3 linked regions of the Arabidopsis thaliana genome follow. The protein of the gene in region 2 interacts with the protein of the main gene of each other region in a pairwise test. Each region holds a gene or a part of one and is shown on either strand. Other genes may lie near its edges. The genes, in order: MYB32, AT1G06170 and DYT1.

What was found.
Region 1: the proteins of AT1G06170 (region 2) and MYB32 interact in binary tests that used the Arabidopsis thaliana proteins (3 or more experiments, as listed by UniProt).
Region 3: the proteins of AT1G06170 (region 2) and DYT1 interact in a two-hybrid assay, tested with the Arabidopsis thaliana proteins (one study listed by BioGRID).

What each region holds. Positions count from the first base shown.
Region 1 is NC_003075.7:16,660,591-16,664,687, forward strand, and holds MYB32 (myb domain protein 32), read right to left. Parts: upstream 1,960-4,097; 5' UTR 1,700-1,959; coding exon 1,437-1,699; intron 1,342-1,436; coding exon 780-1,341; 3' UTR 511-779; downstream 1-510.
Region 2 is NC_003070.9:1,884,360-1,888,613, reverse strand, and holds AT1G06170 (basic helix-loop-helix (bHLH) DNA-binding superfamily protein), read left to right. Parts: upstream 1-1,709; 5' UTR 1,710-1,827; intron 1,828-1,889; exon of another isoform or gene 1,890-2,031; 5' UTR 2,032-2,049; coding exon 2,050-2,781; intron 2,782-2,865; coding exon 2,866-3,273; intron 3,274-3,345; coding exon 3,346-3,468; 3' UTR 3,469-3,623; downstream 3,624-4,254.
Region 3 is NC_003075.7:11,348,264-11,351,267, forward strand, and holds DYT1 (basic helix-loop-helix (bHLH) DNA-binding superfamily protein), read left to right. Parts: upstream 1-1,658; coding exon 1,659-1,838; intron 1,839-1,912; coding exon 1,913-2,110; intron 2,111-2,185; coding exon 2,186-2,431; downstream 2,432-3,004. UniProt on the Arabidopsis thaliana protein: Transcription factor. Involved in the control of tapetum development. Required for male fertility and pollen differentiation, especially during callose deposition.

The sequences.
Region 1 (4,097 bases), on a different chromosome or scaffold from region 2:
AGGTCAAAGCAATATAACTCATATATCTATTTTGATATCGTTCAATCTTTGATATATGTCTCAATATACATTTCTTGAAATTTCGTATCTTTAACACTATCACATGTAGAAGAACCTAATTATGCCCACTAGCCTGATACTAAACTAAACTCCAAAGTTTTAGGTTGATGTCCGTTGTTTTACATAAACAAACATTTGGAAAAAACCAAACCACACTAGTTAAGTTCTTATATGTATATATTTGTATAGTTTTGGAAATAAGGTGAGTGACTTTTGTTTAATATAGTGAACAACACATTAATGTGATAAAGACATTTTACCAACACAGTGAATGCTTTGAATTAGTACTAAAAATAATCAAACGAAATATGCCAAAAGGTTGCAATGAATAGAAAACATGTACACTTTCAATCGTTCTCACGCTTCTCATCCTTACACAGCTTATCCACTTCATTGATATGTCCAATCTCTTGGGAATAACCATCGACATACATTTGTCAAACATTGGTTGGATTATCGAGTAAAATTCTAGAAATATACCAAGGATCGAATTTGAATGCATATGTCTTGTCAGCAAAGCATTACACCCATGCGACACTTACAAATGGCGAACATTTTCGCATCTTTTTAGTAGATTATCAAATATGACGACAGATCCTAACAACTATGATATGAATAAAATTACTAGTTATTAGAAAAGTTGAGAACCATGAACGAGTCTGTTAATAGCTTTTATATCACAATTCACAGCTATAAATTGATTAATATAGTATTTCATTTCATTTCATTTCCAAAGTGCTAAAATCCAAAACCCTAGTGTTGTTTAGACCCAAGAAGTCATAACCAATGCTACTACTAATGTCGGTTGAAGAATAACTGCTGCTACTACTGTCCTCTGTTTGACATTTCACATTATTACAGCTACACTCCTTGCCGTTCCCGAATCCAAAACGGCACGCACTGCACCTATACTTCACTCTCCCAAACCTTAGGTTCCTCTCATCATGGAGCTTGTCTTGCCATGGTGGACTGATCCTAAGCTCAAGATTCAAGTCCAGACATCTTTCTTCAACAACTGAGTACTCAACTCTCTTTTGAATTCTCTCGTCCCCGAAATTTGCTATTTTCTCCAGCTGAGGACCAAAAGAGAGAATCTTGACAAGAGGGTCCTCTGTTTTACTAGAATCAGACGAATCTTGAGAAGTTTTGGTCTCGTTGATAGGTCGATGAGTCGCCGGATCAATCCCTTTTCTTAATAGCTTCCTCTTAACATGTGTGTTCCAGTAATTCTTAATCTCGTTATCTGTTCTTCCTGGTAATCTCGTCGCAATAAGAGACCACCTGATAGAAGAAAAAAAAAACAGAGTTTAAAAAACAGAGCTTTTTAACATAACAGAGGATAGTAAAAAAAACAGAGGAGTTGTTTTGTGACTCACTTGTTACCGAGAAGGCTATGTAGTTTGATGATGAGATCATCTTCTTCGAGGGTGAAGTTACCCCTCTTGAGATCAGGTCGGAGATAGTTAATCCATCGGAGACGACAGCTTTTTCCGCAACGTTGAAGACCGGCGGATCTAGGAAGAGAACGCCAACAACCTTCACCGTGAGCTTTGATGTAAGAGATGAGCTTATCGTCTTCTTCCTTAGTCCAAGCTCCTTTGTTTGTGTGGTCTTTCTCACAGCAAGGAGACCTTCCCATCTTTCTTCTTCTGATTCTTGTGATGAAGAAATTAGGGCTTTATGGAGAGACGGTTTGAGAAAGAGAGAGAGAGAGAGAGGTTGGAAGAGGAAGGTGAAGCCTAATTTGTTTCTAGAAGAGAGTTGGTAAGACACGTTTGAAGGAGTGGCTAGTGGGCTCCGTTCTCTTTTTTCTTTTTAATCTAAGATTAAATTGTGTTTTTGTTTGTTTGTATCAAAACTAGAAACTGCAACATTCACACGATCGTGTTCGCAGTTTCAATGAGAAAACGCTATATGGCTTTTATGGTTTTTTCAAACCTGAGTCTAGTTGTCTACTTATTTACTTATTAGCCTAGTTGTAGGTGTGAAACCATAATTATGAATGGCGACATGCGTTTTGTTGGTGATTTTAGCAATAGAAACTGTGATCAATATTTCACATTTCCTAAAGAAACTTTTCAAACTTTACCAAATTTAATCATATTATATTTAAGTAGTTAGATAGGTGAAAATTTGGTTCATCTTGTTTTTTTCTATATTTTAGTTTCATTAATAACGTAAGAAAAAAAAAATCATCGAGTTTGTTCGATATGATTTTATATCGCAAATAATAAATTTGTTTGAGCTAGGGTTGTAAAAACAAAAGTAGAGGATATATTTACATTAAAGTAAATAGTTATAAGGATTTTGTTTTTGGACAAAGTTGGATGGTTTCGTACTGCAACGAATTTAATTCAAATTATGGACATTTATGTTACAATGGAAAATAGTATATATTTGCCATAGTGAGTTTGGTAAGGAGGTTGTAAAGGGCATCCAAATGACCAAATTAAGTATATTCAAATCAGTATAAAGATAAATTCGTTAGAATTTCTAAAGAAAAAAGGAGAACATGTTAGTTTGATAATTTTTTTGGTTAATCAAAAGTTTGGAGGATTAATCTAGAAGACACAAACAAGGTTGGTTTTGAGGGAAAGTTAATTTCATTTTTGGGTACGGTTTGGTGTAGATTTGGCTGCAATATGGGGAGTGGTTCGTGACCTTCCACTTTATCCTACTTCCTTTAAGAAGTGTTAAAACATATCTCAACAAATCGTTTCGTATATATAAGAACTATTCAGATAATGTATCAACCGTTTAAATTTTAATATCCATTTTCTCTTCACCAAAGTAGTGAGATATAGCATTATATAAGTAAAACCTACATCCTATACTAATATTTAGCTACGCGCTATATGATAATTACTTGTGAGTAATTAACACAAAATCAGGAGTTCCTACAATCGGTGAAACCTCACGTGGAGTTTGTAATGTAATGAAAATGGAGAGTGCATTTCTACCTGCTTTCTCCTTCTTCCATTAATGATTTGCCCTAACACGTGACCTTTTTACTTTCTCAACTACCATTTTACCAATCTCTTAATTAATTCCTTATCTTCTTTTCCATCAATTCAAGGTTTCTTATTTATCGTAACGACCAACTAATTCTTAGAAAAAAATCATAGTTTCTTGAGAAACGCTTTTCGTAAGCTAGCTTATCATTTGAATTGATATCTATGAATTTATCCGACGTATCTATGTTCTTGACAAGTTACAAAGACCATGGCCTACAAAATATTCAAGAATTTTGCTGTCATCACGAGCTAATTAAGCTAATATCAGTATATATGAAAATACGACGACTCTAAGAAAAACATTCGTGAAATGCTTTTGTAAATAGGTAAGGGGATATTTTGAAATAAGTATCGATAAAAACATATCGAATAATGATTGTGGTTTTTATTCTTGTTTGGAGTTCTTTATTTGGAAAAGGGAAAAAGCTTTATTGGTGAAAGTTTGTTTGATACCTGAAAGACAATCTTAAAAGAGTTTGGTAGATTTCATGGTGTACATTTACTCTGAACTCCTACCGACATATTTGTATATTTAATAACGAAGAAAATAGAAATGGGATAGAATTGACATGTGATTTGTTATCTACACACACACCAAACAAATCTTAAAAAAATAGGTACATTATACGACTTTTAGAATGTATACAAAGTGCAACATGTAACATATATTTCCTAATTATTAAAAATGTATGGTTTATTTATTTAAACTACTTACAAGTTACAAAACCTTCGTTCTTGCCAAATTTAGAAGACATGCGTTTCTTTCTTTTAGTTTCTTATATAAGTTATTGTTAGGTGATTTCACATTCTGTTAAAATACAGTACACTTCTTTTACGTAACAACAATTCTTTTATGTCAACTTGAATAAAGCTATTTGCTACTTTGCGTCCATTACATGTCATCCCGAGCCTATATTTAGGTAACTGGCAACCAACATCATATATTATCTTCTTTAATGAAAATACGAAAGCAAAAAAAAATTTAATTTTAATTTCTTAGTAGAAGTTTCCTACCTAACTAAA
Region 2 (4,254 bases):
TCTCAAGATTTTCGTAATCTGAATAAAAAAATAAAAATAAAAACTTCACGAGGATAGAAAATGAAAAGAGAAAACATACAATCTATATAATCTTTCCAAGTGGCCGAAGAAAAGGGTGATGAATCCTCTCGTCAATAAGATCAGTAGGCCCAAAAGAGATATTTCAAATTGAGTCGCATCTGTCGGGTAAGTTAAAGCAATAAATAACCAGCCACAGGTAGGGTTTAGGCCCTCTCATCTGGCTCTAGATGACGAAACGTGTTAAAACGCCTACTTCTTGTTGAGGCCCAAAATAAGCCTCATAGGAGAGAAACCAAAAACGTAACTGTCACGATTACGAAACACCCCTTAATTCCATTTTGCAAATGCATCCCCTCCTCACCTTTGTTTGAGATGTTTTTATATACAGCTCAGCTCGATAACCTAACTCGACACCCTCTAAACAAAAAGTTACAAAACGAATATAATAATGTCTTCGGCTGATCCGGTTTAACTGAATCCCAATTCCCAAATTGTAACATACATAACATGAACTTAACCGGACAAAACTGGTTAGCAGAAATTTTCAAGTGAGTTTACGGAAACACCCTTTTCCGCATAGCTTTTGTGTCACGTGGGACCCAGCTAATATTCTTCACAAAAAATCCGCTACCTTGCCTTGGAAACATATTTTGCATGACCCAACAAACATGAAATTAAGAAATACTTTACTTTACAAGGAAATAATACAAATAAAGCCTTTTTATCTTATTTATAATATCATCGATCATTGTATATCAGAATTCAGAAGTCCTAGATAAAATGTTAAAAGTTGAATCTTGTTTGACCTAATAGAAAAGATTCCACTGACAAATTTCTATGTCTATGACTATGATCAATTTTATTTCCTCTATATGTAAAAAAAAACTCAACTTCACATAATATTTTTTGAATGTATCGTTTCTTATTTATTTTTTAAAAAACTCTGCTATTTTTCCAAAAGACAATGCGAAAAAATCTTTGAACGTGAAAGTGAAATTAAGAAAATCTCTATTATAGTCGAAGGATTCAAATCAAGCGTAATATTACCGAGAAAATATAATCAATAGACAGAAATACCCCTAAAGATCATATACCAAAACGGCAAAACCTGAGAGAATCGTGACGGGACCCACGCGAAGAGAGACACGTCATGGAACTTACAGACTGTAACTAACCACCGGCCTGTCTTGCCACAAACAAAAATTTCATGATCCAACCAAAACCCTCGTTTCTAAAAAGGATGTAACTTAAAAAAAAAAATCTCTAAAAGATGCAACTTATAAAGAAAAAGAACTCAAATTTGTAACTTAGGTCATAAAATTACTATTTCTTTTACCAATAAGGTAACCAAATATTTCAATTCAGTAAGATGTATCAAAGTAGGTATTGTCACACATAAAAAAAATCTGAACTTTAACCAAAGTCCAGTCCAGAGTACCACCATTAATTGTTATTGATAAAAAAAAAACTTTAGTTTTCAATTTTTGAATATTACGGTACGAACAAAAAAAAACACTAGCGTTTTGAGAAAATAAAAAATATATTGAAAGGAAAAAAATGTTAGTTGTTGAAATTAAACTTTTGTTCCCCGTTAGACCACAAATAAATAACAGACGTATTTTATTAATACAAAAAAAAAAAGTTAAATGTGTCATCTTCCACTCTTTTTATTTGTTACTCTCAAATTGCAAACGTATAGGCATTTCAAAAAGAGAGACAGAGAGAGAAAAAGAAAGAGTTGTTAATGTTAAGTCTCTTCTTGGCGTGAATTCGGAAAAAGTTCTTCGGAGAATCATCATCAGCCAAGTCGGTAACAATATACCCTTCTCTTACTCTTTTATTCCTAATAACCTGATCATTAGATATACATTACAAGAATTCATCTAAGCTTAGACGATTTTTAAGTTGGTTAGAACAGATTTGTTCAAGATTAGGTTGCAGTTTTCAATATATAATCTAGCAAATCAAAACTGTGTCAATGTTTTCTGATTTTGAAACCATCTTTCTTAGCCCTTTGGACCGGTTTTCATGGGAGGAGGAGGCATGTTTGAAGAAATTGGGTGTTTTGATCCAAATGCTCCGGCAGAAATGACTGCTGAGAGCAGTTTCTCTCCGTCCGAGCCACCACCGACGATCACGGTCATCGGTAGCAACAGTAACAGCAACTGCAGTCTAGAAGATCTCTCTGCATTCCACCTCAGCCCACAAGACTCTTCTCTACCTGCCTCAGCCTCAGCTTATGCTCATCAGCTTCACATTAATGCTACTCCTAATTGTGATCATCAATTCCAGAGTTCAATGCACCAAACCCTCCAAGATCCATCGTATGCGCAACAGTCGAATCATTGGGACAATGGTTACCAAGATTTTGTGAATTTGGGTCCTAATCATACCACTCCTGACCTACTCAGTCTCTTGCAATTGCCAAGATCCTCACTTCCACCTTTCGCAAACCCTAGCATTCAAGACATTATCATGACAACATCTTCCTCTGTCGCCGCCTATGACCCGCTCTTCCATCTGAATTTTCCTCTGCAGCCTCCTAATGGGAGTTTCATGGGAGTGGATCAAGATCAAACTGAGACTAACCAAGGAGTGAACTTGATGTATGATGAAGAAAACAACAACCTCGACGATGGTCTTAACCGTAAAGGCAGAGGATCGAAAAAGCGTAAAATTTTCCCTACAGAACGCGAGAGAAGAGTTCACTTCAAAGACCGGTTTGGTGACTTAAAGAATCTAATTCCAAATCCCACCAAGGTTTACACTTACTTAAATACTAACTTCTTCTTCAAGTAAGAAATCTTCAGAAACTAATTAAACCCTTTTTTCTTATATCTCTAGAATGATAGAGCATCAATCGTCGGAGAAGCGATAGATTACATCAAAGAGTTGCTAAGGACGATCGATGAGTTCAAGCTGCTAGTGGAAAAGAAGAGAGTGAAACAGAGGAACAGAGAAGGAGATGATGTTGTTGATGAGAACTTCAAGGCTCAAAGCGAAGTAGTAGAACAATGTTTGATCAATAAGAAGAACAATGCCTTGAGATGCTCATGGCTCAAGAGGAAATCGAAATTCACTGATGTCGATGTACGTATCATAGACGATGAAGTTACCATCAAGATCGTGCAGAAGAAGAAAATCAATTGTTTGTTGTTCGTATCCAAAGTCGTTGACCAACTTGAGCTTGATCTTCACCATGTAGCTGGTGCACAAATCGGAGAGCACCACAGTTTCTTGTTCAACGCCAAGGTTTGTCATAAAATCTCAATTTAATCCATAGTCAGACACTATTAGACTAACTAACGAATTGTGATATAACAGATTAGTGAAGGATCTAGTGTTTATGCAAGTGCCATAGCAGATAGAGTAATGGAAGTGTTGAAGAAACAATACATGGAAGCTCTTTCGGCGAATAATGGTTATCACTGTTACTCTAGTGATTAAAGCGTTTTCATCTAGCTGGCTTATTACTTTGAATATGGATAATTAATAATCACATTAGTTATATTTTCGTATTATTGTTCTTAGCTTGTAGCTATGCCTCTGTTTTTACTTTTTCCTTGTTTTGGTTTAATCACATATTCCAATCATATCCCTCGAAACTTCTTAGATTGACTTTCTTGATTTTATATGTGAGAGTTCCATCTTTTCCATAATCTAAAACTGTTGTTGTTCTTAACTGCTTAACATATGTCTCGTTGAACTTATTGTTGACTCTTGGTCGTCGGACCAACAGCTAAATAGAGCTGTGCGTTTCGGCTCATAGTTAGTTTTTGGTTGGGCCTTTTCTGGTAAAGCCCAATAGTTTTGTTAGTGTAGCCCAACCAATAAGAAAAATGATTGCTTCGTGTGAGAAAACATCAAAAACATTCTTTTTAAATTATTATTTTTATCAAAATAACATTTAGATAGACATACTGAAACAGATTGTTTTGCCCCAACAAAAAAAAAAAACATAAACGGATGGGTAATAAATATAAAATAAACAAGGAAAACATCAGCAATGACGTGTATATTAATCTGATCTAATAAAACAAAAATCAAAATAATATGATTGGATCGTACATTTTACATTTGTCATTCAAGGTGGATAACAAATACGTCTAGACGGGTAGAACACGTAGTCCTCCAATTTAACACTCTCTTGCTATCAATTTTTTTTTTTTTCTTTGAAATAGATAGTAGATGATTCAATTTTATTTGTATATAAAAAATATGTTGTACGGTTAA
Region 3 (3,004 bases), on a different chromosome or scaffold from region 2:
AACACTATAAAACCGACACCTCTAGCATGCTGGGAAAAGTTGTCCTGACGTTTGTGAAAGAAGATTGGGAAATGGCAAGCGCATTGGCGACTACAACTATCAACAAGGCGGCGGGGCTGATCGTGGCACGAAGTGGTGATTATCAAAGTGATATTGTCTATAATCAACCATTCATCTACGTAGACTATGAAGTCGGAGCTAAGATTCTACGATACATCCGCTCGTCAAGGTATACTATCCTTTATTTTATATTTTTTGTGATTGATCATCCTTCCGAGTCACATAGAGTATGTAAAACTGATCATCTTCTTATGGCTTGCGGTCTCTTCAGTTCTCCCACGATTAAAATTAGTACTGGTAAAACGCTCGTAGGACGTCCTATTGCGACTCAAGTTTGCGGATTCTCATCTAGAGGGCCTAATGGACTCTCTCCTGCCATTCTCAAGGTTCTTTCCCTAAACAGTGTTTCAAAATCTTGTCTGTCGTTTCCAATTTAAGGATCACCTGTTAATGATGGAAATTTCTTTGGGTTTATAAATGATGCAGCCTGATATAGCAGCCCCTGGTGTGACGATTTTAGGAGCTACATCTCAAGCCTACCCCGATTCTTTCGGCGGTTATTTTCTAGGCACAGGGACATCCTATGCCACTCCCGTTGTTGCGGGGCTCGTCGTACTACTCAAAGCTTTACACCCTGACTGGTCTCCTGCTGCGCTAAAATCTGCTATTATGACTACAGGTTCTTGAAAATGGAAAACCACTTTCTTCTCCTCACCAGAAAACCACCATTCGTTAATTTAATCTTACCAGAGTTTCTTCTCTTGTTATTATAGCATGGAAGACTGATCCATCCGGGGAACCAATCTTTGCGGAGGGAGAACCACGGAAACTGGCTGATCCATTTGACTACGGTGCAGGACTCGTGAACGCGGAAAGAGCCAAAGATCCAGGACTAGTTTATGACATGAACATCGACGATTACATTCACTATTTCTGCGCCACTGGTTACAACGATACATCAATCACTATAATCACGGGAAAACCCACAAAATGCTCGTCTCCATTACCGTCTATCCTCGATCTTAACTATCCCGCCATCACGATTCCCGACCTTGAAGAAGAAGTGACCGTCACAAGAACGGTGACTAACGTTGGACCTGTGGACTCAGTTTACAGAGCCGTGGTCGAGCCTCCGCGAGGTGTGGAGATTGTTGTTGAACCAGAGACTCTAGTGTTCTGTTCGAACACGAAGAAACTTGGGTTTAAAGTTAGGGTTTCGTCGAGTCATAAGAGTAACACTGGTTTTTTCTTTGGTAGTTTCACTTGGACTGATGGGACTCGAAATGTTACCATTCCTTTGTCTGTAAGGATTCGTGTTTTGAACCCTTGAATAAGAAGATTCCTCAATTCGTCATAAATTGTTTTTTCTCTCTATAATGAAAACAAAAATTGTTATTTTAGTCTCTGTATTTGACTCTAACTGAAATCACATTCACTTAATAACAAACTGAGACTAAGATTCTCTCTTTTATTCTCTCTCCACTAACAGACTTCTATCTACATGAGAAGCAACTATATAACTCATGTCTTTTACCACCATTACATAAATAAGAATATAAACACTTTTGTCTGAAAAATTATCAAAGAAGAAGAAATAAATGGGTGGAGGAAGCAGATTTCAAGAACCAGTGAGGATGAGCCGTAGGAAACAAGTAACAAAAGAGAAGGAAGAAGATGAAAACTTCAAATCTCCAAATCTTGAAGCAGAGAGACGTAGAAGAGAGAAGCTTCATTGTCGGCTTATGGCTCTGCGATCTCATGTCCCCATTGTCACCAACGTAAGTCCCAAATCTCGATTATTATTTTATGGGTATTTTGGTGATGATTGTTGTTGTTTTTGTTTCGTTTTCAGATGACTAAAGCAAGTATTGTTGAAGATGCGATTACTTACATAGGAGAGCTTCAAAACAATGTTAAGAATCTCTTAGAGACATTTCATGAAATGGAAGAAGCTCCTCCTGAGATTGATGAAGAACAAACGGATCCAATGATAAAACCTGAAGTTGAAACTAGTGATCTTAACGAAGAGATGAAGAAACTCGGAATCGAGGTTTTTAAAATTTCTCTAATCGATTTTTGATTCATTTTCTTTATCTTTCTTGATGATTTTTTATTTTTGGGACAGGAGAATGTGCAATTGTGTAAGATTGGGGAGAGGAAGTTTTGGTTAAAGATCATAACAGAGAAGAGAGATGGGATCTTTACTAAATTCATGGAGGTTATGAGATTTCTCGGATTCGAGATTATCGATATTAGTCTAACAACTTCAAATGGAGCAATTCTTATTAGTGCCTCTGTTCAGACACAGGAACTCTGTGATGTTGAACAGACAAAAGATTTTCTTTTGGAAGTTATGAGAAGCAATCCATAAGTATTAATTATATACATCTTGGAAATTTCTTGATCTAATAACATTTCCATTGGTTTTTATTACATTGTTGTTCCATTTTAAATATGATATGATTCAGATGAAAAAGAGTTTGTGTTACAAGCCAATGAGCTTCTTCTTGTCTTCATATATGTTGCTGCAAAATGTTCATGATCCTCTGTTTGAGGTCAAAGAAAGAAAACACTAGATATTATCTCTAGGATCCGAGCAATGGGGGTTTCTTTTTAAAATGGGCTTAGAATGAATTAGCTCTTAAATGGGCCATTCTCAAGTTGAGCCCATTTAATTTCAACCATCCAAATGGTGAGTAGTGAATAGTGATGTTCATTTGTGTAAGGTTGGAAGTTGGTAGAAACCTAAGTTTTTTTATTCAAATATCAAAACTATTCAATAGAGCCAAAATCAAAAGACATTTTCCTAACCTATTAACTATTTTTTTATAAAAATAATAATATACCTTTATCATCTCTGACTTTCCCTACTCCACGACATATTTGATTAACAATATAAAATAATTTATAGTTTCCACTCTCAATGAAATAAAACGATGGACCG